Linked DNA regions of Rhinolophus ferrumequinum. The protein of the gene in region 4 purifies or fractionates together with the protein of the main gene of each other region. This does not show direct contact. Links are inferred from orthologs where the notes say so. Each region holds a gene or a part of one and is shown on either strand. Other genes may lie near its edges.

Region 1 (7,865 bases), on a different chromosome or scaffold from region 4:
CACAAACCGGGTGACATAAAACAAGTACAATTTATTCTCTCGGAGTTCCAGAGGGTAGAAGTCTGAAGTCAAGTGTCAGTAGTACCCTGCTCCCTCTGGAACCCGTAGGAGGGACTCCTTTCTTGCCTCCTAGCTTATGATGCTTTCCCAGCCACCTTTGGTGCTGGCTTACAGCGCCAGCACTTCAATCTCTGCCTCCATCATCCCATGGTGTTATCACCTCATGTGTGTTTGTCTTCACATGGTATTTTCCTAATTCATAGTGAATTAGGTACCACCTTAATGAGCCCATCTTAATTGATTACATCTGCAAAGGCTCTATTTCCAAGTAAGATCACATTCACAGATACCAGGGGTTAGGACATCAACATATATTTTGGGGGGGAATACAATTCAACCCATATACTAACTAAGAACAAAGCTTCACAATACATGAAGAAAAGAACGGACAAATACAAAGTGAGAAATAGACAATTAGTATATTGAAGTTATTAACAGCTTCCGGCAAAAATTGGTAGAACAACTAGACAAAACAATTGGGAGGGATACAGAAGTTCTGAACCTTGATATAATTGACATTTATACATTCAACAATTTAACACACACTTTTTTTTTCAAGTATACTTGGAATGCTCTCTAAGATGGACCAAATGTCCATCATAAAACAAGTCATAAAATAAGTCTCAACATATTTCAAAAGAGAAACAGCTTACGTAATAGTGCTGACTAAAATGGAGTTGAATTAGAAATCAATAACAATAAGATACCCAGGAAAGCTCCAGATATTTGGAAATGAAGCCATATCCTTACAAGTAGCTAATGTATCAAAGAAGAAATTAGAAAATATTTTGAATGAAATGGTAATGAAAACACACAAATTAAAACTTGTAGAATATAACTAAAGCAGTGTTTAAAAGGAAATTTATAGTTTTAAGCCCCTATATTAGAAAAGGAGGAAGTTTAACAATAATGATCTAATAATCCAACTTAATAATCTTGAAAACGTGAGCAAATTAAACCAAAAGTAAATGGAAGGAAATAATAGTTAAGAGAAGAAATTAATGAAGAAAAAGAGCAGACAAATGACAGAAAATTAAAGCCAAAAGTTGGTTCTTTGAAAAAAATTAATAAAATTAATAATCTATTAGATGGATTAATCAAGAAAAAAAGAAAGAAAACACGTTACTTACATCAGGAATGAAAAAGGCGTTACTATAGATTCTACTAACATTAAAAGAACAACATGGTATATGATTTCACGTACATGTGGAATCTAAAAAACAATAAAATGAGCTAACAAAACAAAACAGAAACAGACTCATAGATAGAGCAAACAAACTTATGGTTGCCAGATGGGAGGGGTATGGGAGATACGTGAAAAAGACAGAGGTTAAGAAGTACAAGCTGCCAGTTATAAAACTAGTCACAGGGATGTAATAACGTACAGAAGGGACTATAGTTAACAATATTGTAATAAATATGTATGGTGACAGATGGTTACTAGAGTTATCGTGGTTATCACTCCGTAAGGTATATAAATATCTAATCACTATGTTGTACACCTGAAACTAATATAATTTTGTATGTAAATTGTAATTAAAAATTATTCAAAAATGATTACAGGAAGAAAAAAAAGACCTCTCATGTTGATGAATTTTCAATTTTCACCAGGAAATTTATTGATAATGTCTTTTTTAGTTGTTATTTTTACAGATATAATAATATGATATGATAAAAGGCTATCCTGGGGGGAGCAGGGGAAAGAGTAATATTATGGTAGAGTAAGGACCTCTGAAAATTTTGCCTCCGTAAAAGAAAACTAACAAAAATTGTCAGGATCAACTTTTTCAGACCTGTGGGAATTAGCGAAGACCTTACAACAATTCAGGGAATGCTTATTCAAGAAAAGTGGCTGTGTGCTCGCTTCCGCAGTACAGATACTAAAATTGGAATGATACAGAGAAGATTAGCATGGCCCCTGTGCAAGGATGACACACAAATTCGTGAAGCATTCCATATTTTTCTGACCCCTCCCCGCCAAACCAATAAAGCATAAAGCATAAAAAAGAAAGGAAGAAAAGAAGGAAGGAAGCAAGAGAGTGAGGGAGGGAGGGAGGGAGGGAAAGAGGAAAGAAGGAAGGAAGGAAAAAAGGAAGGAAGGAAGGAAGGAAGAAAGAAAGAGTGGCTGAATCTTGGTAGGAACAGCAAACTGTGGTGTTTTAACTTGTCCCATTCCCATTACTCCACTTCCAGCTCCCGGTAGTCTTGAAAACCAATAGTCTGCAAACAACTCTGAGACCTTAGAAAATACCGGGAAACTTATTGGTTCTATGCATTCAAGGAAATCTCTATTCAGTTGTTAGCTGATCGCTAGGCTAATGGAGCAGAGACTTTAGTAGCAACATATGACAATAAACACAGACTTCAGGGAATTAAGTCAGAAAAGTCACTAAACAAATAACAACAATGAACAGCCCAACAACAAACAGTGGGGAGGGGGGAATCTGGTATCCACAGTGCCACATTGTATAATTTTAAATATCCAGTTTTGAACAAAAAAAATATGAAATATACAAAGAAAGAAGAAAGAATGGCCCATATGAGAAAAAAAAAACACAGAATTTATCCTTGAGGAAGTACAGATGTTGGACTTACAGACAAAAACTTTAAATCAGCTATTTAAATATGTTCAAAGAACCTTAGGAAACCATGTCTGAAGAAATAAAGGTGAGTATGAGAATGATGTCTCTCTAAATAGAGAATATCAGTAAGGAGGTAATGTAGTATTATTTTTAAAAAGAACCAAATGAAAATTCTGGAGTTGAAATGTATAATGACTAAAATAAAAAGTTCACTGGAGGGGCTCAGCAGCAGATTTGAGCAGTGCGAAGAAAGAACTGGTGGACCTGCTTATGATCTACTGAGATGATGTAGCCTATAAAACAGAAAGGGAAAAGAAGAAAGAAAGGGAAGAAAGAAAAATGAACAGAGCCTCAGAGACCTGTGGGACACCAACAAGCATACCAATAATGGGAGTTCCTAAAGAAGAGGAGAGAGAGGGAAGGCAGAAAGAATATTTGAAGAAAGAACAAAGGAATACAAAAGTAAGAAGGCAGGAACGGAGAGATAGAAGAACAGAAAAGATGTAAGACATAAAAATATAAGGAAATGGCAGATGTAAGTCCTACCTTATTGGTAATGTAATGTAAATGGCTTAAATGTTCCAATTAAAAGGCAGAGATTGGTAGAATGCATAGAAAACATGATCCAACTATATCCTCTCTGTAAGAGCCACACTTTAGATTCAAAGACACAAAAAGGTTGAAAGTAAAAGGATGGAAAAAAGAGATGCCAGGCAAATAGTAACCAATAACAAGATAGACCATATTCAGGTAATAAAAAAAGTTTCCATAAATTTTAAAAGATTTAAATAACACAAAGTATATGCTTTAATCATAATGGAATGAATTTAGCATAGTATGTCTTACGACATATCTACTGCATAGAATTTGAAAAACATAAAGTATGCCCCTCCTGGTCATTTTTTCTAAACTTCTCCTCCAGGAAAGAGAATTCCACAAACATTCTGGCATGAGTCACCAGGCCACCTCACCCACAAGAGGTAGGTCATAGGGGATTTTACGGTATTTATTTACTGAAAGCTGCTCTATGGCTCCTCTTGAGAGGCAGCATTTTATAGTAGAAAATGTTTGCCTTCTGGAATCAGATAGCCTGGATGCCAATATCCATTGTATTAGGCAAGTTATTTAGTTTCTCTAAGCTTCAGTTTTCTCATCTGTGACATGAGGTAATTATACCTACCTTAAAGATTTGTGAGAATTAAATGAGATACTATACCTAAATCTTAATTTCCTACCCACCTCATCTTCTGTCTTCCTCCTCATGCAAACAACAATGCAATATGAAAGAGAACAAATGGGGTCAAGGGGCCTGGAGGAATAGAAATAGGGGAACCAGGAATTGTAATCCCAGTCCTAAATTGTGTAAAATACATGACCCTCATCTATAAAATGGGTATGATTTCTGTCTTGTGGGAGTTATAAGGACTAGAAGCGATTATAAAGATTATAAGAGGGAACATATCTGACTTGTCTAGCACACAGTAGGTGTCCCATAAGTGGTAGTTATTACTTTTAGCAGTAGTCTAAGTCATTTATTTACCTTTTTCTCATTTTTGCGGCTCATCCTCTCCCCAGTGCAAACTCCAGCTAACTCCTCCGCAAACGCAATCTTTCTCTTTGCCCCCCACCACGTCTCTTGAACACTTCTCACCTCCTGTACACTGACTTTTCCTGCACTCTGACCAGAGCGGGAGAAACAGAGGTAAAAGAATGGAAGGAAATAAATCTAAATAAACAATTTTGAGAAAAATGTTTAGGTTCCAACATTACTTTTTTGGCTGCGTACGTGTGTGAGAGAAAAACCTTTGTGAAACTGGGATGTCTCCAAATCCTACTAGTAAAGTCCTGATAAGACAGTCTTGCCGCCGGGGCGGAGGGGACTCCTCGGGTCTGGATGAGTTCTCCTAAGGAAGGAATGCGGGGCAGGCGCGTTTGTGCAGAAGCCGGACTGCATTTCGGCTCTGACTCCCCGGATCTGGGGTTCTCCACCCGACACGTCGGTTTTCTCCTCCGCAGGTGGCCCTAAGAACCCCGCGGTGGCTGTGAGAATAACTTGAACCTCCGAAGACTGCTAGTCCGAGACTTGGGACTACAGCCACCACCCGGTCGCCAGAGAAGGAACCCCGCGCGCCGGCTCCGCCCCCTGCCCGTCTCCCCGGGCCCCCACGTGATTTCCTGAAAGGCCGAGAGACCGCCCTCCCGCCGCTCAGTTTCGTTTTCTTGGTGGCTTTGGGCTCTTGTGCTACAGTCGCGGCCGTCGTTTCCGCGCGTCCCGTCCGGTCCTCCAAGGAGCGCTATGGCGGAGCTGTCCCTGGCCGACGAGCTGACGTGCTCCATCTGCTTGGAGCCCTTCAGGGAGCCGGTCACCACTCCTTGCGGCCACAACTTCTGCGGGTCGTGCCTGGACCAGACGTGGGCCGACCATGGCGCGCCGTATAGGTGTCCTCAGTGCCGTGCCGCGTACCAGGTGCGGCCGCAGCTCCGCAAGAACACTGTGCTGTGCACCGTGGTGGATCAGTTCCTGCAGGCCGAACTGGCCCGCGAAGCGATCGCCGACGGCTGGACGCCACCCGCTCGCGCCACCGCCCCCAGCCCCACCGACCAGGTGGCCTGTGACCACTGCCTGAAGGAGGCCGCGGTCAAGACATGCCTTGTGTGCATGGCCTCTTTCTGCCAGGAGCACCTGCGGCCACACCTCGACAGCCCGGCCTTCCGGGACCACCTGCTGCAGCCGCCGGTTCACGACCTGTTACACCGCAAGTGCCCTCAGCACAACCGGCTCCGGGAATTCTTCTGCCCTGAGCACAGCGAGTGCATTTGCCATATCTGCCTGGTGGAGCACAAGACCTGCTCGCCTGTACCCCTGAGTCAGGCCAGCGCTGACCTGGAGGTAGGGGGTGGCGGCGGAGGGCGCAGAGGGGCAGCTTGGGCCTGCTGGGTTGTGCAGAGGACGCCGCCGTGCGCATCTCTGTCTCCCCTGGATCACTTGGATGGGGGTGGGGATGGGGCTGGGCCTTGCTGGGCCTGAGATCCGGGACAGAAGACACAGGTGATGGTGCTTACTTTAAGTCTAGGGCTTGGCCTGATGGTGTTAATAAAGGGTTTAGAATGCCAAATATGAGCCCTGGAGGTTACCTCTGTTCCCTCATTAAATCCTGGCAGCACCAGGAGGTGGGTGTCATTAGTTCCATTTTTCAGTTAGGGAAAGCAGTTCGGGAGAGGTTACTTAGCCTGAGGAACCCAGTAGATGGCCAAGTAGGCATTGGGACCCAGCTGGTTTGACTACACAGTTTGCCGTTTCTCCCCAGGAACCAGCTTCATACCCAAGTCTACAGAGTCCAGAGCATAAGACATTCCTGGAGGATTGAGGTCATGTGAGCAAGAGCAGTTGGTGAGCCAGAGAGTTCTAGTGAGTAGGGAGGATCCCTACGGGTGGGTTGTGTCTCAGGAATTCTTGGATATGACCCACAGGAAGAGCCAGTGCTCTTGCACCATAGTGCCCTCCATCCTGGCTGTGTGACTTTGAGCACAGGATTTGGCCCCTGGGCCTGAGTCCTTGTCAGTAATGTGAGGAGGTGGGACCTGGTGGATTCCTAAAGGGCCTTACAGGTCTGTGGTCATTTTGGAGAATCATAACTTCTCCCGGTGGAGTTAAGGCAGAGGCTTGAAAAGGTATCACCTTTTGTTTTATCAGTCTAAGCTCCAAAGCGCGCCCCGATTTCTTTTGATTCTCACAGCACTGTCAGCTGTCCTCATATTGTCAAAGCAGACCTGAGACCTGGGGGAAGTTTGCCGTGGCATCCAGGACTGGGGTGCAGGCCTTGCTTCCATCCTGCCACAGCCCCTCTCTGGCTGGGCCTGCTTCTCCCAGTCTGAGCTGGGATCCTCTGGACTTCTTCCCTGAGTCTCAGAAGCCCGACCTCCAGGCACTGCCTGAGAATTGCCCATCTGAGGCCCGGCCATCTGGGTCTCCGACTGTCATAGGAAAGAACCTGCCTAGCCTTTGGAGCCAGGAGGCCTTCTTGGCCCCATACCAGCTGTGGTTTAGGGTCAGTCACTGCAGTTCTGAGCCTCAGCTTCCTCATCTGTAAAATGGGATTAGTACAGCTCCCATTTTAGGGACGCTCCGGAGAGAGGAGCTATGTGGGACGTGCTTTGTAGGCTGGCCCCAGTGTCAGGCAGAGTGGCTGGCTGACACAGGCTCCAGGCAGAGCTGGATGTTGAGACCTGGGTTTGAATTCTGGCTCTGCTTCCTAGCTGGGAAATCCAGAAAAGGGGGACAATAATAGTACCTATCTCCGAAGGTGATTGGGAGGATTAAATGAGCAACCTATAAACTGCGTTTTATGGTGAAGGCTCATTGCTGTTACTCCTCCCAGGGGAGAGGGAGACCTTAACTCGCTGGGCAGTGTCAGGCTGCCCAGATCTTTTTTGCCTCAGGGTGCCTGGGCCTGCCCATGAAGACTAGGGCAGCCTGGCTCCTGCTGAAAGGCCTTTCTAAGAAGTTCTTACCGGTGGAGGCAGAAGGCAAGTAGAGGCAGGAGGCCCCTTGTCAGCCTGTCTCAGAGCCACAGTTCTCTCAGCCTCCAGGGCCTGGAGCTGGATTCTACGCCCAGATTGTGTGCTGAACACACTTGGCTTTTTAATCCTTGTAACAGGCCTTTCCCCTCCACCTCCCCTCTTTCGCCATTGTCCTGGCTGCGTCCTTTCACCATGTTCCTTTTCCAGCCCTGCTGCTGCTTACTCCTGGTGGCAGAGCCAGCCCCAGCTGGGCATTGCCCCAGCCTTGGGTGGCTGGCTGGTCTCCATCAATAGTGCCTCCCGTGTGGAGGACCCAAGTCCCCAGTCTGTGAAGGGATCCTCAGAACTTCAAAAAGGTCTCTAACCTTGATTAGGGGATTGTTGTGGCTATCGAAGTCCTTGGGCCACTTTCCTTTTGTCTGGAGTTGCGTGGACCCCCTTCTTCCATCAGGGGACTGTCATACATGTTTGATTAATGGTAAATAAAATCTTTTAAAATACAGAATTTAGGAGTTCACGGTTAAGAGTGGCTCTCGGAGGTGAAACATTTGGCAGCCCCCTGGTGTTCTGAGGTTTCTTCCAGCTCTTGAGATCTGCGAGGCCAGACCTGCCTGGGTCTGGCCTTCAGCCTTTGGTCCAGTTTATATTGGCCTCTATTAGAGGCCACGTCAAAGGGCATTGTCACAGAGGTCGAATCTGAAA
Region 2 (7,966 bases), on a different chromosome or scaffold from region 4:
GAATGAGAGAATGATTAATTAAAATTAAGTACTCCCCTTTAAACCTTCTCATCTTCTCCCTTTTCTTCGCCTGTTGTTTTCTGTGCATCTTTTCTTCATTCATTCAGTAAGTGCTTATCAAATGTCAGGGACTGTTCTGATACTGAGTATACAGATATAAACAAGACAGAACATGTGCAGAAATAAATAACAGGAGTGGGTATTATGATGGCCAGATGACCGAGAAGTGCTATGATGAAATTAAACAGAGATATGGAATCTTAGAGAGTGAGTTGGCAGGTGGGGGCAGAAATATGATGGAGGTGGTTTTAGATACAGTGGTGAGGGAATAGCCTCCTTAGGAGGGAATATTTAAATCAAGCCTGAATGATGAGAAAGCCCATCATACCAATATATGGGGGAGGAGTAGCTCAGGCAGAGGAAACCCTGGAGCAGGAGCCAGTGCAGACTTTGGAGGGATAACAATAAGGCCAAGGGGACTGCTGCACCGTGAATGAGGGGTTAAGGGTAGGAAATGAGTCAGAGAGGTGGGCAGGTGCCACAGCACACAGCCCTTATAGGGTATGGATGTTACTCCACTAGGAAGCTATTGGAGGATTTTAAGAAGAGGGGTGATGTGACTGGATTGATGTTTCAAATGACCCCTCCGATGCTACGGAGAGTACGGAGAATGCTGGGTATGGAAAGGGGAAGCAGAGCATGAGTAGAAGTTGGGAGACCAAGCAGAGGCTGTGGCAGTGGCTTGGGTGAACAACGGTGGTGAGCAATGGTGGTGGCTGGAAGCGAGGTGCTAGAAGTGCCCTGATCTGAGCAAAGGCAATACCTTCTCGTCAGTGCTGAGGGCGGTGAAGAGAGTTAGGCGTTAGAGCCACAGAGATCTGGGCTAGACATCTCTCTGAGTCTTTGATTCATGACCTAAAAAACACCTGATTCACAGGTTGTTGTGAGGAATAAATCAGACGAAAAGCATCTGGCACACTGGTGGGCCCCACTAAATGGTGCTCCTGGTCTGCAATTCCAAAATCCAAAAAGCACTGAAAAACTAAGGTTTTCTTTGTTTTCATTTGTTTTGTTTTTGGTAGATTTGTAGCCCCTTATCTAAACCTAAACTGGCATGATCAATTGAGTGTCTGTATCATACTTTGGTGCCTATTTATACATTTCACTGCAGAAATATGTTTCATTATACCTAGAGTGTCACCCCCAAATCCTGCTGAGAGCATTACGTAATAGACAGGGTGTATGCTGTATTGCCTTTCTAAAATCCAAAATCTCTGAAGACCAGAACACACCTGGCCCAAGGGTTTCAGATAAGGGTCTGTAGATGTACCATTATTTTCAGAAACCAAAGTCTCATTTAGTTTAGTCACAACCATGAGACCATACATCAAATTGGAGGGGGGGTCACAGATCTCAGAACAGCAGTTATGGAAGAGTCCTTAGCAATTACTTAACCAGAAGTCCTATCAAATGCTTTTACATTCTCAGCACTGTTACCTCTTAACTGCTGATCAGCAGAATGACAAGCCAGTTTGACTTTAAGTGAAATATACGTGTAAACTAATAAGGTACTGAACTGGCATGTTTGAAAAGTACTTACAAGTTTTGGGGAAAAAGAAATAGGTTTCTTTTTAACTACTTTTAATACATAGTTGTCTTAATACTAAGTTACCATTTCCCTAAAAGAAATCACCACAATAATCTCTAACAAACGGTTATGTGTCCATTTTACTCTTGCCCAGAAGATACTTTGGCATTCCCCTTAGGGCAGACGTGAGCGTCTGCCGGCCTAGCCCCCTCCAGGGCCTGCACAATGGTTGGCATGCAACATGCATTCAAGCAGTATCTGATGAATTAAACGAATAAACCAGAGATCACGTGTTGTGGATCTTCAGGTTCAAATAAGCAAACTGAAGAAAAAGAGCACAGTCTGCCCAAGATTCTAAGTTCCTAAATGACAGCAGAGAGTGTATATTTTAGCTTCTAACTGGCAAGGCATTTTTAGTACTAAAGAAATCACAGGTATTAGGAAGTCTCATTATTCTGGAATTCAAAAGAGAATTTATGAATTACCATTCATTAAACAACTATTTAATGAGTGCTGGGGTTATACCAGTGAACAAAACCCTGCTCCGGTGAACTTACCAGTGGAGGAACACGGACAAAGCCATAAAAAAAAATCAGAGCGATATATTGAAAACTGAAGTAAAATAAGGGTGACAGGGAGGGGCGGGTGGGGTTTCTCTTATAAGCAGGTTGTTCAGGGAAAGCTGCTTTGACAGAGTGACACTGAAGAAATGCAGGGGACACTGAGGGATGGGCCTATGCAGGTATCTGAGGGAAGAAAGAGCTTTCCAGGAAGAAGAAACTGGCAGTGCAAAGACCCAGAGGCAGGGGTGTATGCTTGGCTGCGTGTCAAGAACAGCAGTGCGGTCCGAATGGAGGGAATAAGGGGACTTGCCTGTGAGCCCAGAGACGGTGTTGAGAAGTATGGGGGGGGGGGCGGGGAGGGGGAAGAGGGTGTAAGGGGTCGAAATGGGAAGGGAGGGGGGCAGGAAAGGGGTTGGGGAGGGGGAAGCCAGGCAATTAGGAAACAAGTGTAACTGTCTAGGCAAGAGATTTCGGGCCAGGGATTACAGAGCCAATCTATAGGTAATTCAGGGCTGCATATTTCCCATCTCTCTGTCAAGTCATAGGGTCGATCTATTTTCCACTCGATTCCCTCGCCCCCCAACGCCGTCCTGGGCTATTCGTTACTTACTGTGATAAAAACTGTTCACCGGAAGAAAATGGATTTCAGTTCCCAGCACGCTGCCCGGGTCCGAAAAGGTTCCCGCACCTCGCCAGGGGGCCTGAGCCAGGAGTCAGGGGCCTCGCAGCCGACGGAGGACGCGGGCTGCGCGCGCGCCTCTGCACCCCTGTGCTCTCCGCCCCTCGCCGCCTCCCGCGCTGCCCGGCGCCCCGCCGCCCAGTTTACTTCGCGCCGTCACTGTCTCCCGAGGCACTGTCCGATCTGGACACCTCGGTCTCAGTTTCGTTTTCTCTGCGGACTCCGCCTTCCGCTGCGGCCGCCCGGCCCCCTCCCGTTTTAGTCCTTACTGGATCCGGGATCTGGAGACTGACGTTTCCATTGGGAGTCCGCGCGGCAGGCACGCACGTGCCGCTCCTGCTCCTGGGCGCGCGTCCAGACCCTTGTATCCCCACCCGGGCTTCTGGGGCTGTCAGGACCGGGTACAGGTAAGGATCCGTAGGAGGTGGGGAGGACACCGAAGTCTCCGAGCGCCCGTGGCGCGCCAGGCACTCGCTGAACTAGGCTCCAGGATCAAACATCCCATTTCCTCTAACACGCAAACATTTGGGGGTGGGGGTCAGGGTGGATAGTATCAGCCTTATCTTACAATAGAAGAAACTGAGTAAATTAACTCGCCCAGGGTCTTGCCGCTGGAAAGTGGCAAAGCTAGCATTCAGTTCAAGGTCAGGCCCCTAAACACCAAAGCACTCGGTCTCCTTTCCACACTGCTGCCAGGTCACATACAAGGCTGGGGATGAATTGGCCAGGGGAATAATCTTCCTTCTGTCTGTTTGCACCCATCCAACCGCTCATTCAACAGATACTTGCCAGCCGCTGTACCTACCAAGCACCGGCCCAGCAGTTAGGTGAGCCACCTGCTGCTCCTTAAGGGACCTCATGGAGTTTACTACCAAAGCCCTCATCAATAGTCCTCGATTTATAAGAAATCCTACTCACCTAATGGACTATGACACACTCCCAGAGTAATACTGATTCATTGACACGGTGACTAAAGAGTGCTGAGGACTTACTTTACAACAACACTGCAAGGTAGGTGCCATTGCTGTGCCCATTTCACAGATGATGAAACTTAGGTCTGAGGCACAGAGAAGTTAAATAACACAGCTAGTAAGCAGAGGGAGCTAAAATTAGAAGCAGGAGTCTGTACCCTTAACACCTTAGCTAGAGTAAAAGAGAGAGGTGGTCCTAAGTTGGACCTCAAGTATACATTAAATACTGCGCATTGGCTCCAGGAGTCCTTTTCCACTTCTCTTCTACATCCCCTCATTTTGCAGGGTATCAATGGCTAAAAACTACGTTTTCCTTGTAGCTTAGGTCTTGGACATGATTTAAGTCTCCCAAATGTGAAGCACTTGTGGGGTGTTTGGAATATACGAGTAGATGGGAGGCAGAGCCATCTTTCTGTGGCATTTCCAGGCAGCAAAAAGCTCCAGCAGTGGTGGGTGTTTGCAGGAATCCATTTGCCAGCCTCAGGCAGTGGGGTGGCTGTGGCAGAAGCAATGGCAATAGCAATGACACGTTTCCTGACATTTTGAAGCCCGGGAACTGCCCAAGAGAGCCTAGAAAAGAAAATGATAAGCTCAAGTACCGTCAGAGGACACAAACTTTTATGATTGCCCCAGAAGAACCTCTTACATGGAGCTTCAGGGCAGATGTTGTAAAGATCAGGTGCAGAGCCTGATGCCGCAGGTAGCAGAATTTTAAAATATAAGTTTAAGATGTAGCCTCACCAAGTCTTTTATGTGAACATTAAGGGCATTGATTGGGAAAGAATGAGGCCCTGGGAACTTGGATGGATTTGAATGAGTCCAAGTACCACTGCCCTCCCAAATTCTGTTGAGTGTCCACAGTCCTTCCACCTTTGTTTGCTAAGGATGGTACAGCCTACGTAGCTTGAAGATCCTGAAGTAGTCACCTCCAAATGTCCCATCCTACCTCATTCCTTCACTCCTAGAACTAGAATCAGATGCTAGGATGCCACCAATGGATACCGACAAGATCTGATCCAGAGGAGGTAGTTTACACAATAAAAGAGTTGCAAGATTTTACTAATTTTTTCCCCAGCAGAAACCCAGGAAATATGCATGGAAATGGTTCTAAAGGTAACAAGGCAAAATAAATATAATTTAGATTATGCACTCAATGTGCTGGCTCCAGCAGCGGGGAATGGCTCTAATGGTTTGTTCAGTTGGTTTATTACAATCTGGCCTCAGGGTTGGCACACATTAAGTAAAACTGTGATGTCAAGTAATACAGAGGAAGAAATCAAAAGGAGGGGGGTTATCACTTTGTGAGGGATATAAATGTCTAAGTATTATATTGTTTTGTACACCTGAAATGAATAAAAAAAAAGTATGTAGGGAATGAGGAACATTGGAATAGATTAATCATATGCAACCTATTCATTCACTCCCTAAACATGGTCCCCAAGAAAATCCAAAGGATCCTCTTTCACCAGGCATTGAGAAATATATTGGAGAGGGGGAGCATCAGCATCCTTGAAAATTCTGTAATGAATGGTGACCACTGCTGGTGGGGAATGTTGATGGGAGATGCTCCCTGATTTCAATGTGTACTATGGCTCCCAGAGTAGCAAAGGCCATGTGGCAACACTTAAACCCCAAAGAAAGGGCATCAGGGTCAGAGCAGTAATCAGAAAGTTTCAATAACCAAAGATCTTCAGTGGTGATAAACTGGTCCCGACATTCTTAGGACTCAAAAAAGATGCTAGTCCACAGGCATGTTACACGAGCAGCTATCTAAGGCTCTATCACTCCTGCTCTATCAACCCAATCTCTGAACTCATGGGGAGTTTCCTGTGGCCAGATGATTGAGAAAGAAATATTCGAATGAAGCACAACACACTGCCATTAATCAGAAGTGGATTGAGGTATTACAATAGCCCCGCTGGGAGGTGGTCCTAAAGGATAGTGGGAGAAAGGAAATCTTCCCAGTGGGCAGAATTTTGAGCAGTACCTTTAGTTGTCACTTGGAAAAAGAGAAAGCCAGTGGCTTGGACAGAACCAATGGCTAACCATTTAGCTGGATATTCAGACATTTGGAAGGAACAAGATCAGAGGGTCGATGATAAGGAGGTCTGGGGGAAATGATGTGGGTGAACCACTTAGAACAGACACAGAGTTAGGAGCATATTGGGTTCTCTTGTGAATGTTCACCTCCACAGGCACGCACTTCTGAGGAGGCTATTGAGAAGCAAGTGGGCAAGACGACTTCTATGGATGTCAGCTTTCCCAGCTACCCCAGTGTTTTTTCAAAATGAATGAAGAGGCAATGGCAGCAGGAATTGGATGATACATGTGAGTTCATCAACAGGGAATTCCCATCCAGGCTGCTGAGTACCTAGCGTGTCAACAACACAGACCAACCCTGAGCCCCCAGTGTGGATTCTCATACTCCAAGGAAGACCAGCCAGTCACTTTGTGGCAGACTGGTTACGTGGCGACCTTTCCATCATGGAGTGGGCAGGGATTTGCCCTCTGTGGAGTAAACATGTATTCCAGCTATGGATTTGCTTTTCCTTCCTTGCAGTGCTTCTGCCAACACCATCATTGTTGGACATCCTGAATATCTTGTTCACCATCATGTTATACCTCACTAAGGAACCCATTTTGCAGAAAAAGAAGGCAGACACTGACTACCATGGGATCAATGGTTTTATTATGATCATCACCACCAAAAAGCAGCTGGCCTTAGAAGACTGTGGGATGGAGTACTGAAGACTCAGTTACAGCCCCAGGTAGGTGACAACACAGCAAGCTGAGTGTACAGTCCTTCAAGTACAATATATGCTCTAAACCAAGTTGCTGTTTCTTTCACGGCCAGAATACAGGAGACCAGGAAACGGTAGAAGTGAAAAGCTTGTCTCCCACAATTAAACCTAATCACACACTTGCAAAGTAAGTGCTTTCTTGCTCCTATGACATTGGGCTGTTCTCCACTAGGAGACACATAGTTCCTTGCGCAGGAACTTGAGAGTGCATCTGGATTTTACAGGTTCATCATGCCATCAAGTCATCACAAAAATAAGGAAGTTAGCAACTGGGCTGATTGATGTGAATTACGCCGGGCAAATAGTGATACAGCCACGCAGTGGAGTCAAGGATGAGTATGTCTTCAACCCAGAGGTTTCTTTGAGGTTCTTTCTGGTAATTACATGTTCAATGATAAATGTTGATGGAAGTCTAAAGCTGTCCAACACAGGCAGGACTGTTAAGGTCTCAGCTCTTTCAGGATTGTTGATTTATATCGCCCTACTATGTAGTTGGGGAGACTTCTAAGGGCAAAGGGAACCAATGAAGAGGAAATTATAAACACCAATGATGGTCTCATGACCAGTTTCAGAATGAAGCACCATAGAAGCGGTGCATGTTTTTTTCCTTGTTTTGTTTTTGTATGTATTCATGAACTTCTTTTAATGGCTTTCCTCTTTCCTTTTATATGAGGTTTGCTGGTGGTGGTTAATTTTATAACTTAGTCTTTACATTAGAGTATCTTAAGGTGGGATCGTGACTAAAACAGAAGAGGAAAGAACATCGCATAGCAATGGGTATAAAGATTTAAGGGATAGGGTATGCATGCTTTCATTTGAATAAGGGAATGACTGTATTAGGTGGGAATGTAGTTTTGTTTGCTTGAAAGATTATTGGTAGAAGGAGTGGACTGTACTAGATATTAATTTTTATTTAGTTTCCATTCTTATTCTCTTCTATGTCTCCTCATATCCTGGATTATAACATATAGAGGGTAAAAACTACATTTTCCAGATTTCTATGGAGTTAAAGTTCTGGATATAATTTGAGTTCTGCCACTGACTGATGAGCAGTGGGTGCAAGATTTGGAAGATGGAAACGAGGATAAGGCCATCCTTCTGTGGTAGGACAAGCTGACAAGCAAGAGCCCCTGCTCAGGAGTGTAGAGGAAGCATCCTTGTCTTTTTCCTAATGTTAGAGGAAAAGCTTTTTTAACTCAACATACTACTGGAAGTCCTAGCCAGAGCATATTTTCTAAATTAAAATGATAAGCGTACGTCACAATTATCACTGTTGTTTGTCCAATATTAATTCTTCCAATCCATGAACGTGAAACATCTTCCATCTATTTGAGTCTTGCTTTAGTTTTTTTCATCAGTGTCTT
Region 3 (7,858 bases), on a different chromosome or scaffold from region 4:
GTATCACCAGTACTGCTCTAGGTACGAAAATCATTCCAGAATCTCACAGAGACACTATTCCTCTTTATAGAGTCTCAAACACATAGCTCTTCCATCTTTCAGAGCCTTCTTTGAAATATGAAGCTGGGGGATAGTTTGGATTGCATTGGCCTTAACTGCTACCAGTACACAAATGTCCCTTTACTCGAAATATTCTGTGTGTCAACTCCTTTGCATTACTGCTAGCTGCCTCCAAGCTTGCCAGAATCAAGAACTTGGATAAAATCTAGCTGGCGGAAATTCAATCCAGGCAAGACAAAAGTGATGCTGATAGGCAGAAGTATTTAGAGTAAATAAGGAGAAGTGCTGTTTTGCTGGCAATCGGGACAGCATACCCACCAAACATAAACAGCTTTGTGGTGTTACTGGACTCTGTTGCTTCTGGACTTCCTAACAGCTACTGTGGCTGGAAATGCCATCTTCCATCTCCAGCTGGCTTGAAGGCTGCATACTGTCTTCCAAATTAAGATTCTGCCACAGTGATGTACACATTTGTCATATCCAGCTGGACTACTATAATGCGTTCTAGCTGGTTCTCAATACACAAAACTACATAAACGCTACAGACAACAGTGTAAAGTAATCTACTTGTTGGGAAAACCAGCCATCAAAATTAGATGCATGCCCAGGTCTTTGGACAAGCCTACAGCTGTCAAATCTACAAAGGAGCATTAACTTTAGTCACTAAAGACTAAGTCACATCATAGGTTGATATGAGTCCAAGGCCCAAAACTTTGTAATTTAAACCCAATAATGAATAAACAAATAAATTAAATAGGTTTCTTTGGGTGATCACTGAACACAAAACTAAATCTAGAATCATTTGTAGTGAGGATACCAACAATTAGAAAGAAAGAAAATGTCAAAATCATTGCATGTTAGACAAAGCGTTTGACTTTTAGTCATGGGTTTGTTTGCCTACATGCCTTTCATGCTAAGATATTTGGCTTACAAACTGGAATAAGTCAGATTCAAATAAGTCACCATTTTTATACTTCACAGTATGTCCCCAATCATTGAAAAACAATAACAATAAAACATTACATTAAGTGCAAAGTTACCTGTAAAATTCACCCTGTCAAAATGCCACCTAAAAAATCCACTACTTGATCACTAATAAGAAAAACTGCAACTAGTAGACATACTTTTCAATGAATTATCTCCAACTTTTGATTTGCAGAGAATGTTGAAGAACTTGAGAGAAAATAACATGCTATATGTAATTTCCCTATTTAGACCAAGATTAAATGGCATAATGTATAATATAGCTTGGCGATTGGCAATTTTTTTTTCTCTAAAGGCCAGATAATAAATATTTTAGGTTTTGTGGGCAATATAGTATCTGTCCAACTACTCTTGAAGTACAAAAGCAGTCCTAATATGTAAATGAATGAGCATGGCTGTGTTCCAATAAAACTTTATGAACACTGAAACTTTTTTAATCTAAAAACTCTACTTAGCTTTTGAGCCTGCAATAACCAGCAGCAGGCTGGATTTAGTCCATGCGTCATGGTTTGCTGGTCCCTGTTCTGTGGAAGTGTATTAAATAAGACATAAAATTCCACACCATCAAGACCTAACCCCATATCTCTGCCACTGTCTTCCTAGGCGGCCCTGGGGAAGTTATTCAACCTGCCTCAGTTTTCTCATCTGTAAAATGGAGTTAATAACATTAACCACCTCAATGGAGTATTTCCAGCATGAACTGTTGATACATTTTGCAAATGATACTAAGTGCACATTGTGAGTGTTCAATAAATGTTATCTATCGGCATACATTTATTATTCTTGAATTAACTCCTCTTTAGCTTATTTCAGTTTGCCACTCCTCTTTTGCCACACGATGGTCGGATATATCCAAATGAATATACCTGAAATTTTTATACATAAAAATAATGTTATTTATATACAAAGCAGCTCAAATTGTTATTATTAAATGCATAAAATAGTAAAAATATCAACTTTTTTTTTTGTGGATTTCTGACACATTTTGAAAAAAACACGAAATCAATTAACGCAGTGAAAGGATTAGAAAAACAGATATTTTGTGTTTAAATTTTCAAACTTATGTTTTAGATGACTAGATATTATATTCTCCTCTCAAAGAAGGAGGGAACCAGATTTACTCAAAGACATCAAAGAACGTTTGGAATGAGGCAAATGAGCGACCAGGACCTAGTTGCAAAAGTCTAACTAAAAGCCAAGTTCCATCTGAACTGACACTTACCCGATTTCTGTCTTCAACTGTCAACAGGTCCACCGCCACACATTTATCCAAGACATCTCTAACTAGAAGCTTGTCCACCAGGGTGGGCTGTAAAAGGTTCAGCAGTTGGAGACACTCATCGTGAGTGTTCTCATAGGATGGAGAGGGCAAGTCTGTGAGCTCAGGATTCATGTAGCGGGCGGCTAAAGGGCTTCCTGTTCGCTGGAGGGCTTCCACAAATACCCTAGTCCAGCCCAGGGGCCAGACCCCCTTCTCCAAAGTGCTGAGGAGCAAGTCAGCTCCGTGAATTTCCCCGTGGGTGAAGGCCGTCCTCTCAATCTTCTCCTTCTCCTCTGCAGACAGAAAGTCCAGGTAGTCCAGCACAGGCCCCACCTGGATATACATTTTCACTCTGGCCCGGAAGCATGAGATGAGATATCGGAAACTCTTGTCTGAGGAATACCCCTTCGACATCTTTCCTTCTCAGAAAAGGGAGAGGTTCTCCCAAGTAGATGGTCAGGTTGCTGTTCTCTGCTGACCAGGTACGATGTGTATAACCCTGTCTGCTGCCTTGGGTAGCAGGGTCTTCGGGGATGTACCTGACAGCAACGGGGTTGCCTTCAGGACCCCCAGACCGGCTCACTCAGCCGTGCGATCGCCCCTGGCAGGTGGGCAGGTGGGCAGGGCGCGCCGGACAAGGGACTCCGAGGCAGGCAGTCGCCGGCGGCCGGCGCGGCCCGGCGCCTCTCTGCAGTGCTCTCCGGCGCTGCGCACTCCGGTGGGAACTTTGAGTCCAGTTTCCCCCCAGTCAGTTCTTATAGTTTTCCTGACTGTTTTCTGTTTCGATTCTCCTCTTCAGGACTTTCCAAATGTAAGCCGCCGGGCGGGGGCGTTGCTCTTTCCGCGAGGAGGAGCCGCCCCGTGATCGGTGCTGGCAAGTGCGAAATAGAAAAGGAAAGTGAAATCTCTCCCCCACCAAGTAAGACACCGATGCTCCAGCAATGCACCTCCTGCGGGCATGTTGTCCTCCTTGCAGAGTTCTGCCTCAAAAATCAGACTTCCTTTCCACAGCTGTTTTGCATCAACCCTTGTCAGCTAAAATGGGGAGAGCTTGAAAGAACGTAATTCAGAAATTCCCCGCAGGGAGGTGAAGAGAAACAGATGCCACCGCCAGGGTGTAAGATTGCAAGGGACAGGTGTAGAGAAGCTAAAGAGACATTTCCAGAGAGGTGTAACTGCAGAACCCCAGGATGAAGTGACCTCTTGTGGGGACAGAGTCCCAGAATGCACTTTCCAGGCTCTCGGCCTCACGCGGAAAGGCGCTGGCTTGGGTAGTAGGTGGCCATCAGCTGTGGATGGTTGGTCATCAGCTGTAACCAGTTAGCCATTGGCCACTGATATAACCGCCATGGCTGAGCTACCAAGCGCAGATTGCAGTTAGCAAGGGGTTGGTTGGTTGTCAGAGAAGCGGATGGCAGATCACGGCTCTTGCTTCCAGTTTCCAACCCAGCCTCCAGCAAGAATATGGTGGTATGACTCTCCTATCTGTGGCTCCATTGGTGTTCCTTTTTGGCCTCACCATATCCTGCGTTCTTAGGCAGGGAGCAGGACCAGAGATGCCGCATGACACCTCTGCACCCTTTCTAGGTGCAAACCTGACCTCCTGTGGGTCCCCAAGAAATAAAACTTTCCTTGGGGAATATCTGGGTGGTTATGAAAAAGAGTCATGATAAACAGTGAACTTTTATGCCTCCTCTGTAGATTGTAGTATTGATTTGGCTTTGACCAGAGCCTGGTGACAGACGCAGAGGGACTTGAACCACCAACTCGATTTAGGAGGAAGCCAACATGGAAGGTTTCCTATCTCCCAGCATGTCAATTTCCCATATTCTTTAATATACAACTTTTCTTTAATAAAACAAAACAAAATCCCCAACAACTTATTTTTGACATAGCTGCCATTCTTTTCTTGGATTCAATACAGCGAGTTTTGGCTGAAGCAGCTAGGAACTTAATTAGCAACTAATGTACCAACTTGTAGTAAACATCAACATTTGTCTATGTCATGAAGGAAAAAAAGACACCCACACTGCAAAATGGCAGCTTCATTTTAGTACAGAAGCCACATAAACATGAGTCCTTCATGTTGCTGTTCAGGCATTCTGCAGCCCTGGGTGACTACGCGTGGTAGTATATATGCTTCATAAGGAGAACCTCATGGTCCAGAATTATGCTGAGGATGGAGGGGTCATTTAGGCTATCAAAAAGATATGTTTAAGAAAAGTAATTTGTTAGCAACACACATGCAATGATTTTTGGAGAGGCCAGGAAACCTGCCCATGCTTTGGATGGTATAAAAGAAGTACAGTCTTTGTGTTTACCAGAAGTATACAGAATATCCAAGTGAGCACTTTATAGCAAGTTTATTCTCGATATGATATAGCTAAGCCTTTTTCTTCCTTAAAGGACTGTAAATTTCTTGAAGGAAGAAAATATTTACACAGTAACCACTACAGTACAAACAGTAGACTCTTGATGATTTCCCACCTGAATGGCATTTTTAGTTGCCTTGCGTCTAGCTGCTGGCTTAACCTAAAATGCAAAGTAAAATCTGCTGAAGTGAGATAAAACCTTGGCCTTACAGGTGGGCCTGATTTATAATGTTCTTTTCTGTTTCTTCATAAAGCATTACTGTATCTTTACTTAATTTTGGGATTTGACCTTGTACCTAGGTAGAAGATAATCACATTAGATGTTTCTACAGAAGTAGTAAAATTATTGATTTTAGTTATTGATTCTACAAAAATATGTTTTGGGCCTATTACAAGAAAGTCCCCTTCCTTCCCCATGTGCCAGCAGGTATCATTCAGTATGTTAAACCAAAGACTAACTAACAAACAAAAGACGTTCTGTACCCATCTTTTTGTCCTTCACTTTCAAACACTGGGGGATAAGAAGGGATTGCTGATTAAATATGGGAAAGTAATGTCATCTTCTTAACACCATGAAATTGCTGCCCTGATGAGAGGATCAAAAGTAGAAGATTACATATTTGTATTCAGATCATTTATTTATTCAGTCATTTAAAAAATATTTATTAAGTAGACTGTGTAGATGCCTGACCAATATGCTATACATCTGAAGCTGAAGTAGAATACGTAATATTGACTGTAAACTATAATTAAATATATATATATATAGCCAAAAAAAGTATACACCATTTAGAAAAGGAAAAAAAAACTGTACTAAAATTGTAATATTCAACATATACCGATAACCAAAGATGGATACAAGTCATGTGTATACACTTTTTTATACCTTTTTTTTTGGCACCACTGGTATATGTATATATAGCCACTGGATGTGGAGTACAGCATAGGGAAGATAGTCAATGGTACTGTAACAGCTATATAGGATGTCAGAGGGGTAGTAGATGGGGGTGGTGGTTATCACTTTATGAGGGATGTAAATGTCTAACTGTTACATTGCTTGGTACACCTGAAACTAATAAAAATATTTACTAAATAACTACTATGTCACCAGCACTGCTCTAGGTACAGTTAGTAAACTAGAACAAAGTTTCTACTTTTATGCAGCTCACATTCTAATGTGAGTGGGGAGACAGATAATAAATAATAATTAGAAAAATACAGTTGCCAGGTGAAGATAAATACTATGAGAATAATGGTAAGATCTATTCCTAAGTATTTTATTATTTTTGATGCTATTGTAAAAGGGATCATTTTCCTTTTACTTTTTTTTTATTTTACTTTCAGGTAATTGGCTGTTAGTGTATAGAAACACTACTGATTTTTGTATGTTGATTTTGTATCCTGAAACTTTGTTGTTGATTAGATCTAACATTTGTGTGTGTGTGTGTGTGTGTGTGTGTGTGTAGTCTTTATGATTTTCTACATATAAAATCATGTCATCTGCAAATAGAGACAGCTTTACTTCTCCCTTACTAATGCTGATTCCTTCCTTTCTCTCTCTCTCTCTGTCTCTCTCTCTCTCTCTCTCTCTCTCTCTCTCTTCTCTCTCACCTCTATCCTTTCTCTTGCCTCATTGCTCTGGCTAGGAGTTTAGAACTATGTTAAATAGGAATTGTGAGATCCAGATAATAATGCACATTATAGTTTTACTGGTTGACTTTCCAAATAGATGCCCTTCCCCAACCCTCACCATTACCATCAATCACAATTCATGTTTACTCTCATGTGGGAATCACGACTGGATGAGGTTCAGTGATGAGGACTAAGCATAGGTGGGAATAAATGAGGGAAAACAGAAACAAACCTCTTCTTAGGAATCTGCCATAATCTTGATATGACCCCTTCTGGAGAAAGGAGGTTGAGGAAACAAAAGCCAAGCCACCATCTCTCAAAATGTATTTTTTTTTTCTTTACCTATATTTTTCCATTGTAATTTAGTTTATTTTCTTCTTTTTGTTTGAATAGACATTTTCCTCTGTTAAGTTTCCCCTAATAGCTTTCATTTTCATCCTTCTCATTGTTTTCTAAACATAGCTTTCTGTTTCCTTTCTCCTTTGAGGTAGGAAATCTTGCTGCTCTTTGTCTTCTTTCTAGACCTGCCTAGTCTTTTTAAACCAAAAGAAACATTTCAGTCTCTATCAGTTTCAAAAGCCACCTTTTAGCATTTTCTTCTTTAACTATTAAGTCAGGGATATATTAGATAACAGATTCCCACTGTTATCCAACTTTTCATCTGAGTTTTCTACAATTAAGAAGTAGTGATAATCATAGCTGCCACTGCTTTGATAAACCAGAACTACAATTTAATGGCCACACATAGCAGTAATGCCTTTTCCAAAGAAAATGACAATAAACTTAGTTTAGTGAGGAAATCATTCTAGAATTATTGTTGTTTCTTCATTTCTTTTCTAATTGTGTCAATAAAGAGCCTACTCTGTGTAATTGAAAGTTAGATGCCCCTAACCTAGCAGTACAGAGCTGTGGTTAAGCACAGAGACTCTGAGCTCAGGATGGCGGGTTCACATGTCAGCACTACCTATCAATTCTGTGTGATCTTAGGGAAACCACGCCAGATTTCTCAGGTGTAAAATGAAAATGATAGCAGTACCATGTCATAAGGTTGTTCGAAGGATGGACAGTAAAACCCTTAGCACCAGGCCTGGCGTATTATATTTGCCCTATAAGTATCTACAAGCATTCTTAGCAAACAATGAATAAGAGATGGTGCTAGCTCTCAAAGAATGCACATTTTAGAGAGGAAATAAATTAGTTGTATACTTAAACACTATATAGTAACCAGCCATGTAACTGAGGTTTTACACAGGATCTCCTTTTGCAAGAAACAGACGTCAATATGCTGATTTAGCAGAAAAGTTTATTAAAAGGATACTGTTATAGGTTTATATCTCAAAAACATAAGTAGGTACAAAATAGAAAAGGAAATTCTGGCTAAGTTTACTAGATCATGATACTCATTTCTTAATTACTTCCACCAATTCAGTTATAAAGTTCTGATTTTACATATGAACATTGAAAAGCTTTTTCTACATAAACAATTTTGGCAAAAAGAAAATAAAAAAATCTGGTATCAGTGGAAAATTTCCAAATATCCATTTTTCAA
Region 4 (7,898 bases):
GTGCCCCTAGCCACTCACAGCAAGAAGACTCCACTTAGAAGTGCTGCTTCTTTGAGGTACACTAGGAAAAAAAAGAAGCCCAACATAATAACAGGATCCATCCTACTTTAATGGTGAAGGAAATGAAGTATTAAGAAATAAAGGGGGCTTGCTTGTTAGTGCAAGAGCAAAGAACTGAGGTCTTCAGGATTCAGGATCAGATTCTTTCCAGAACACGACTGCAGGGCCACCATGAAAGCAGTTTGCTACATACACGTTCTTAGGGTAGGAGGCTGAGTTCCACTGTCCTGAACTCACTATTGACCTGGGGCAAGTTACCCGTCTTTTCCAGGCTTGTCCTCACCCCTACAATGGGTCAGGGAGCTTGTTTTGACAATACAGTAGTTCGGCCTGATGAGCTTGAAATTTATAAGCGCCTCAAATACAAGCAAGTACCGCCAGTTGCTTATGGAGCACTTACAATTTGCAAGTACATGCATTTGTTTGTGTGTTGTTTATTTGCCTCCCCTCTGGGGAGAGCTGCAGGGAATAAGAGAAATGAGATTTCTGCCATCATCCAGTTTATATTCTACTGGGGTGGGACAGATAACAAATCAGTAAACACATACATAAATAAGAATCCCAGAGAGTAATAAACATTACCAAGAAAACAAAGCGGGGTAACGAAACAGAAGCCCTGGAGAAGGGCGTGCTGCTTGCACTGGGATGGTCAGGGAAGACTTCCTGAATTGGCTGCATTTGAGTTGTGCCGTTCGTTCGGTGTTTCAGGCAGAGGCACTAGTGAGAAGTCCTAAAGTGGAAACCAGCTCAGCGTGTCTGAAGAATAGAAAGCAGGTCTCAGCGCGTCTGAAGAATAGAAAGCAGGTCGCTGTGGTCCAGGTTTAGAAAGCTAGGGGGAGGGGTGGAGATCAAGAAAGTTGGGAGGAGCTGTTACAAAGAGTGTTACAGGAAAGGGTGTTGGGTTTCATTTGGAGGGTTCTGAACAGGGAGGGGAGGGAGAGGATCTATGTTAAAGACCTCTCTGGTGATTGTGAGGACCTTGGACTATGGAGACGCCAGGATAGAAACAAGGAAACAAGTCAGGAGGCCACAGCAGGGCACAGACAAATGTACGGCTGGGGTGGTAACCAGTGGTGGAGAGAGAGAGGTGGTTGGATTCCTGGTGTTTTGTGGGTTTGGGAGGTGAGGAAAGGAGAAAAATCAAGGATGACTCTTTGGGCGCTGGGTGGATGGATGGTGCTATTTAGCCAGTCAGAGAATCCAGGGGAGGAGCAGAGGTGCACAGGGAACTCCAGAGCTCCATTTTGAATAAGTGAAGCTTGAAATGCTATTGAATGTCCAAGTGGGTTTTCAGGGAGGGAAGGGGGCACAGAGAGGGCCAGGCTAGAGTAGAAACGAGGGGTCAGGCTTGAGTGAGACCTCTAGGAGACAGCGCTGCAGAATGCCCAAAAGCTGCTGAGGCCGCCAGTCTCTTGCCAAATGGGAAACCGGGCAGCAGTCCTGTCTCCTGGCTTCACAGCTTCAAGTTGCATGACTTGCTTTGCCAACCACCAGATGCTACATTCCTACTGGGACAAGTGCTAATGATAGAGGTCAAGAGGATTAGGGAGGGAGGGCCGGGGTTCCTGGGAGATTTCAGGAGATGAGCAAAGAATAACTGTGGTAGCTAAAGACCCTTTTCTCCTTCCCTCCCATGGCATCCAGGGAGGCATCAGGAGAGAGTCAGGTGATAACATTTTTCTGCATCCCAGCCTCAGCCCTTAAGGCACAGAGTTTGGGGGGCAATGGGTTATGATATGATCCCACCAAAAAGAAAAGAAGCCCATAGTTGTTCACATTTATTGAGGATCCACTATAGGCAGAAACTTATTAAATAAGTTTCTCTCATTTAATCCTTGCCACAAATTCATGAGAGAAGTGATGCCAAGGTGCACAGCTGACCAGTGGCCCTGACAGGATTTGAACCCAGGACTTGATGTCTCACTGCAGCTCACCATACACTTTGCAGGTCATAGAAGCCCCTGCAGCAAGTGAAACTCAAACAACCCCTGCCTTCAAGTTCAGGAAAGGGCCAAGGTCACCATCTGAGTGAGGGGGGTCACTGGGTGAGGGTGCACCTGGGAGGATGCAACATTTAGTCCTGAACCGAACCGTGCCCTCCACAGCAGCGCGGTTCTCAGGTCGCTGACTCTCCTTCCAGATGTTTTTGAGGCTCCACAGCATCTATACGGGGAATGTCGTTTGGGATTTTGGGGTTTGTTGTTGTTTTTTTCAATGTTTTCCTGGCACCTCTTTCCGATCTCAGAGATGGGCAGCGAAGGTTCCGGATCCACTCGGCGAGGAGTTTCCGACCCGACTGTCCCAGGGGTCTGAGTGCTCTTGATGAATATCCACCCACGCGGGAAAGGCGAGGCCTCACAGCCCCATAGACCGAGGTCCACGGAGGACAGGGAGGCTGTTCTTCTGAGCAGGTGTCACCACCGAAAACTGTCAAAACCTAGGGGAGGGCGGTAACCTCCACCCCGAGGCACGGCCAAGGCCACAGGAGGTTGGCGCACTAGAGCTAGGCCTTGCCCGGGGGTCACCCTGGGCCTGAGCAGGGCAGCGGGAGGGCCTCAGCGGCCGGCGCCCGTTTCCTTCCTTTCCAACCTTCCCCCGCAGCCCAAGCAGACGCTCCTTGCCCCCCACTTCCCGACCCCCTGGGTGCCCTCGCTGTCCCAAACTCCAAGTGCCTTAGGACTCTCTCTTCCCGAGCCCCGCGCACCCTGTCCCCTCCCCGGCCTCCCGCGCGCCCCGGACCTCCTGAACTCTGGCGGATTCCAAGTCCCATTTGGCTCCTGACGCCGCGGGCCACCTCCCCGAAAGGCGTCTGTACGCCCTGAGCCCAGAGGACCAGGCGCGTGGGCTGCGATCTTACCTCGGGTAGCCACGACGCGGCGACCTGCGGACAGCCCCGACTGCCACCGGCCGCCAGAACCCTCCCCCGCCAGGGCGGGGCCATTGGTCGCACGGCGGGGGCCGGGCTTCGCGGTCCGCGCAGGCCGCTGGGAGACTGCGGGTGGCACTAGGCCTAGATTTAGAGGCCAGGACGCTCCGGGCGGACCTACGTTCCTGCAGGGGAGCAAAGGAGCAAATTATTGTCTTTCCCTGTTCGTCTCAGGCAGCTTTCAGGGGAAGTCCAGGGTCTAGTTAAAAACCAAGTGGGCTCCAGACCTCCGAGTCTGTGCCCTGTTGAGTTCCCAAACTTTCTACACAAAGCAATCCCTCCTCCTGCCCAGTGATTTTAGGGGGGAGAGGCTTTATGTGGTTTGCTCTTGGAAGCCCAGGGTCTAGCACACAGTACTCAACAAACGTGCCCAGCCAGGTGAGTGCCCAGCCAGATGAGTGCCCAGCCAGGCGACGCGCGTGCTGGGCCTGAGAAAGCAGGATCCGAGTGCAGGGCGTAGGTACCAAGGCTGCTTACCTGGCTCCCTCAGTGTGGGCCATGAGTGCTGTGTGAGAAAGGCCTCTCCACCCAAAGGTAAGGGGCGGGTGACTTCCCGCAGTGCTTGCCAGCCGCCTGTCCTTCCTCTGATGGGGCACAGGACACTCACAGGGGCAGAAGCTGGCAATTACTGAGGGCCCCCTGTGTTCCAGGTACAGGCTTCAAGTTCCTATCTTAGGGCTCTTTAAATGCTCTCATAATAATGAGATAGAAGTTTATTTTTTCTGTTTTAAAGAGAGACTTAAAGCTTTGGGGAAAGGTTTGGCTATTCTTACTAAAGTTTAAACATGCCAGCCGTCTCACTCAGCAACCACTCCTACCTATACATCCACCTAGAAACACTCACAATAGATAATGTTCATAGTAACTTTATTCACAATAGGCACACTCTGGAAACAACCCAAGGGTCCATCAGCAGGAGAATGGAGAGACAAACTCTGGTGTGCTCACACCATGGAATAATATACAACAGTAAAAAAGAATAAGCTATTGATACACACAACTTGCCTGAATCTCACCAGTATGAATGGGCACCATGGCTAACCAAGCCAAGCACAGAAAGTTCATGCTGTCTGTTCCAAGTCACAAGGTAAGGGTTGAAAACAGGCAAAACTCATCTACATAAATAGAAATCATTATCACTAGCTACCTCTAGGGATGTTGAGGGGTGGGGTACAAGGGAGCCTTCCGGTGGGATGGAAATATCCTGTGTCTTGATATGAGTGTTGGGTACATGGGCTTGTGCATACGTAAAAATGCATCAGCTGTACACTTAAGATTGTTACTGCAACTTTAAAAGGAAAGACATCTGAGAGGTTAAGAGGTTTGGCCTAGATCACATGCAAATGCCTGAATACATGCCTGTCTCCAAAGCCAGAGCTCCCAAACTGAATTGTAGGAGGGATGCTTTTTCAGATGATAATTGATTACTTGGAAACCTTGTGGATATTTCACAACATTCAGTATTTACAAAATGTTAATATTACACCTGAACTCAACTAACTGTAATAAAGCCACATCTGCCTTGTTTAGCCAAGACAGCGTTAACATTAATTGGTTCAAGAATTACTCCTGCCTGCTACCCACCCCAAATCCAGTGACCTCATATCTGATTCTTGCAGGAAGAGTGTTGGAAGTGCAGTGAATTGCTTCTAAATGTAGTTGCCACCCTGTTTTTGTTGGACTTCATAGGGCATTAAAAAAAAAAAATACAGCTTCCTCAAAAACACAATGAGATACTGTCTTAGTCCATTTGAGCTGCTATAACAAAAATCCATAGACTGGGTGGCTTAATCAACAAACATTTATTTCTGAGTTCTGGAAAGTTGGGAAGTCCAAGATCAAGATGCTGACGGATTTGGTGTCTGATAAGGGCCCACTTTCTGGTTCATAGACATAATCCTCACATGGCAGAAGAAGCAAGGTAGCTCTCTGGGGTCTTTAGAAGAGCACTAATTCCACTGATAAAGGCTTCACCCTTATGACCTAATCACCTCCCAAAGACCCCCACCTCTAAATACCACTACGTTGGGGATTAGGTTTCAATATATGAATTGTGGGGTTCGGGGGACAAAAACATTCAGTCTATAGGTATCAACCATTGGGGTGGCTATTATTAAAACAACCAGAAAATAACAAGTGTTTGGCAAGGATGTGGAGAAATTGGAACCCTTGTACATTGCTGGTGGGAATGCAAAATGGTGAGACTGCTGTGGAAAACAATATGGTGGTTCCTTAAAAAATTAGAACTAGAACTACATCCGATCCAGCAATTCCACTCCTGGATACATACCCAAAGAACTGAAAGCAGAGACTGGAACAGATATTTGTACATTCATGTGCATAGTAGCATATTCACAACAGTCAAAAGGTAGAAGCAACCCAAATGTCTATCAATGAATGAAAGGATAAACAAAATATGCTATATACATACAATGGAATATCATTCAGCCCTTAAAAGGGAAGGAAATTCAAACACATGCTATAACACGGATGAACTTTGAAGACATTATGCTAAGTGAAATAAGCCAGTCACAAAAGGAAAAATACTAAATGATTCTACTTACGAGTATATGAGGTACCTAGAGTAGTCAAATTCATAAAGATAGAAAGTAGAATGGTGGTTGCAATGGAGAATAGAGAATTGGTATCGAACGGGTAGAGTTTCAGTTGAGGACAATGAAAAAGTTCTGTGGATGGACGGTGGTAATGAATGCACAACAAATGTACTTAATGCCACAGAACTGTACACTTGAAATGGTTAAAATTGTAAATTTTATGTATATTTTGCCACAATAAAAATTCTGACCTACTTGGTTTCCTGTCACCTTTATCAGGAAACCAAAGGAGGGCACAACCTCACATCTATGGTATACCTGCTAAAACTCATAGTCAAGAGGAAACATCAAACAAACTCAAAATGAGGGGCATTCAACAGCTGTCCTGTCCAATGCAGCAGCCATCTACCACATGTGACTATTATTTTAATTAAGTAGAATATAAGATTCAGTTCTTCAACCCCACTAGCCACATTTTAAATGTCATTTTTCATGTAGCTACTGGCTATCATATTGGACAGCACAGATGCAGAGCATTTCTATCATGGCAGAAAGTTCTTTTGGAGAGCTTTTTTTTAAAAAAAAAAGTTGTATTGGCCTTTCAAGCTTGGCATTTGGGTGGTGGGTCCCCCTGGCATGTTCAACATGAGTATGGAGACATGTTATTTCTGGTAGGGACCCATATATCCCGGCCACTGCCTGATGTTTGTCCACAAGGATTGCAAGGTGTTCAGATTCTGTAAATCCAAGTGTCATAAAAACTTTAAAAAGAAGCACAATCTGGGCTGGCCCGGTGGCTCAGGCAGTTGGAGCTCCATGCGTCTAACTCTGAAGTCTGCCAGTTCAATTCCCACATGGGCCAGTGGGCTCTCAACCACAAGGTTGCCAGTTCAACTCCTGCAAGGGATAGTGGGCTGCGCCCCCTGCAACTAGCAACAGCAACTGGACCTGGAGCTGAGCTGCACCCTCCCCAACTAAGACTGAAAGGACAACAATTTGAAGCTGAACGACACCCTCCACAACTAAGATTGAAAGGACAATAACTTGACTTGGAAAAAAAGTCCTGGAAGTACACACTGTTCCCCAATAAAGTCCTGTTCCCCTTCCCCAATAAAATCTTTAAAAAAGAAGAAGAAGAAGAAGAAGCACAATCCTCACACGTTCAGGTGGACTAAAGCATTCTGTAAAGCAGAAATGAACCTGTCAAGTACCAGCGAAAGTTGTGGAATAAAACTATTGATACAATGAAGAGCGCAAACAGAAATGCCAAGTGAAATTTGTAATGAACAGGTTGAAGAAAAATAAAGAACTACAGAAAGTTCAGGACATTAAAGAAGTCAAGCAAAACATTCATCTCATTCGGCCCCTTTTGCATGCCAAGGAAAGCATCTGGAAAACAAAATGGTACAGAAATTACAACAGGATGTGACATGAAAGTTGTTTCTGAAAATCTTAACTGTCTGTAACCATTCCTATGAGTGCATTGGAAAACCTCCGTTAGAGACTTAGAACATCTAAATTAGTTTTTTTACATAAGGTGACTCAAATGAAAAAGTGATTAAAAATACATCTCTTCTACATTGCTATCTGAAAAACATCAGATATTATGGATGCTAGATTGCATCTCAATGTTAAATCTTCACTGATAGATGTGTACTTACATAAATCATGAAAATTTTGTGAACACAGAAGTGAATCGTGGACATAAAATGGTCATGCCACTTGGATAATGGCACATTTATGTAATAACTAATGACAAAAATTCATGACTAGTGATATATAAAATTTTCTTTGCAGTAAAATAAAAAAAGTTGTATTGGATAGCGCTGATCTATAATGTCAAGGCCATAAAAGACAAGGAAAGACTGAGGAGCTATCCTAGATTAAAGGAGAATAAAAAGGTATAACAATTGAAAGCAGTGTGGGATCCTGTGTTGGACTCTGAAACAGAAGAAGACATCAGTGGGACAAATGAGCCTTACTAAGGCTTTTGGATTAGTTAATAATATTCTATCAGTATTAATTTTCTGGGATTGCATCCCACCCTATTTCATGAGTAGAATTCACTGATCATTGTCCATTTATTAATGGAAGGGCGAGTCTGGAGAGCAATCTATATGCCAGGCCACCTGCACCCCCGGGTGAGGGCTTTGGAGACCGCCTCCCTGGTAAAGTTCATCCCCAGGTGGCCAGTGTCTCCAGGCCAGTGCTCAAAGAGGGCTGTGGCTCATGTGGTTCACATGTGATGACTCAGCAATCGCCAGCTCACATTTCCCTCCAGAGAGCAAAGTCAGACTCAAAGATAGTGCCTGAGGGCCCCACGAAGGGATATGTTCTCATATCTGACTCCCTTCAGA

The links.
Region 1: the proteins of MAVS (region 4) and TRIM25 purify together in Homo sapiens (affinity purification with western blotting; 3 studies listed by BioGRID and IntAct, with this or other methods). This does not show direct contact. The link is inferred for Rhinolophus ferrumequinum from reciprocal best matches to the Homo sapiens genes MAVS and TRIM25.
Region 2: the proteins of MAVS (region 4) and EIF2AK2 purify together in Homo sapiens (affinity purification with western blotting; 3 studies listed by BioGRID and IntAct, with this or other methods). This does not show direct contact. The link is inferred for Rhinolophus ferrumequinum from reciprocal best matches to the Homo sapiens genes MAVS and EIF2AK2.
Region 3: the proteins of MAVS (region 4) and IFIH1 purify together in Homo sapiens (affinity purification with western blotting; 12 studies listed by BioGRID and IntAct, with this or other methods). This does not show direct contact. The link is inferred for Rhinolophus ferrumequinum from reciprocal best matches to the Homo sapiens genes MAVS and IFIH1.

The regions. Positions count from the first base shown.
Region 1 is NC_046304.1:28,458,939-28,466,803, forward strand, and holds the start of TRIM25 (E3 ubiquitin/ISG15 ligase TRIM25), read left to right. Parts: upstream 1-4,848; 5' UTR 4,849-4,938; coding exon 4,939-5,532; intron 5,533-7,865.
Region 2 is NC_046296.1:46,183,241-46,191,206, reverse strand, and holds the start of EIF2AK2 (interferon-induced, double-stranded RNA-activated protein kinase), read right to left. Parts: upstream 3,018-7,966; 5' UTR 2,762-3,017; intron 1-2,761.
Region 3 is NC_046291.1:60,413,669-60,421,526, reverse strand, and holds the start of IFIH1 (interferon-induced helicase C domain-containing protein 1), read right to left. Parts: upstream 3,015-7,858; 5' UTR 2,720-3,014; coding exon 2,267-2,719; intron 1-2,266.
Region 4 is NC_046306.1:25,769,736-25,777,633, reverse strand, and holds the start of MAVS (mitochondrial antiviral-signaling protein), read right to left. Parts: upstream 3,017-7,898; 5' UTR 2,918-3,016; intron 890-2,917; exon of another isoform or gene 643-889; intron 1-642.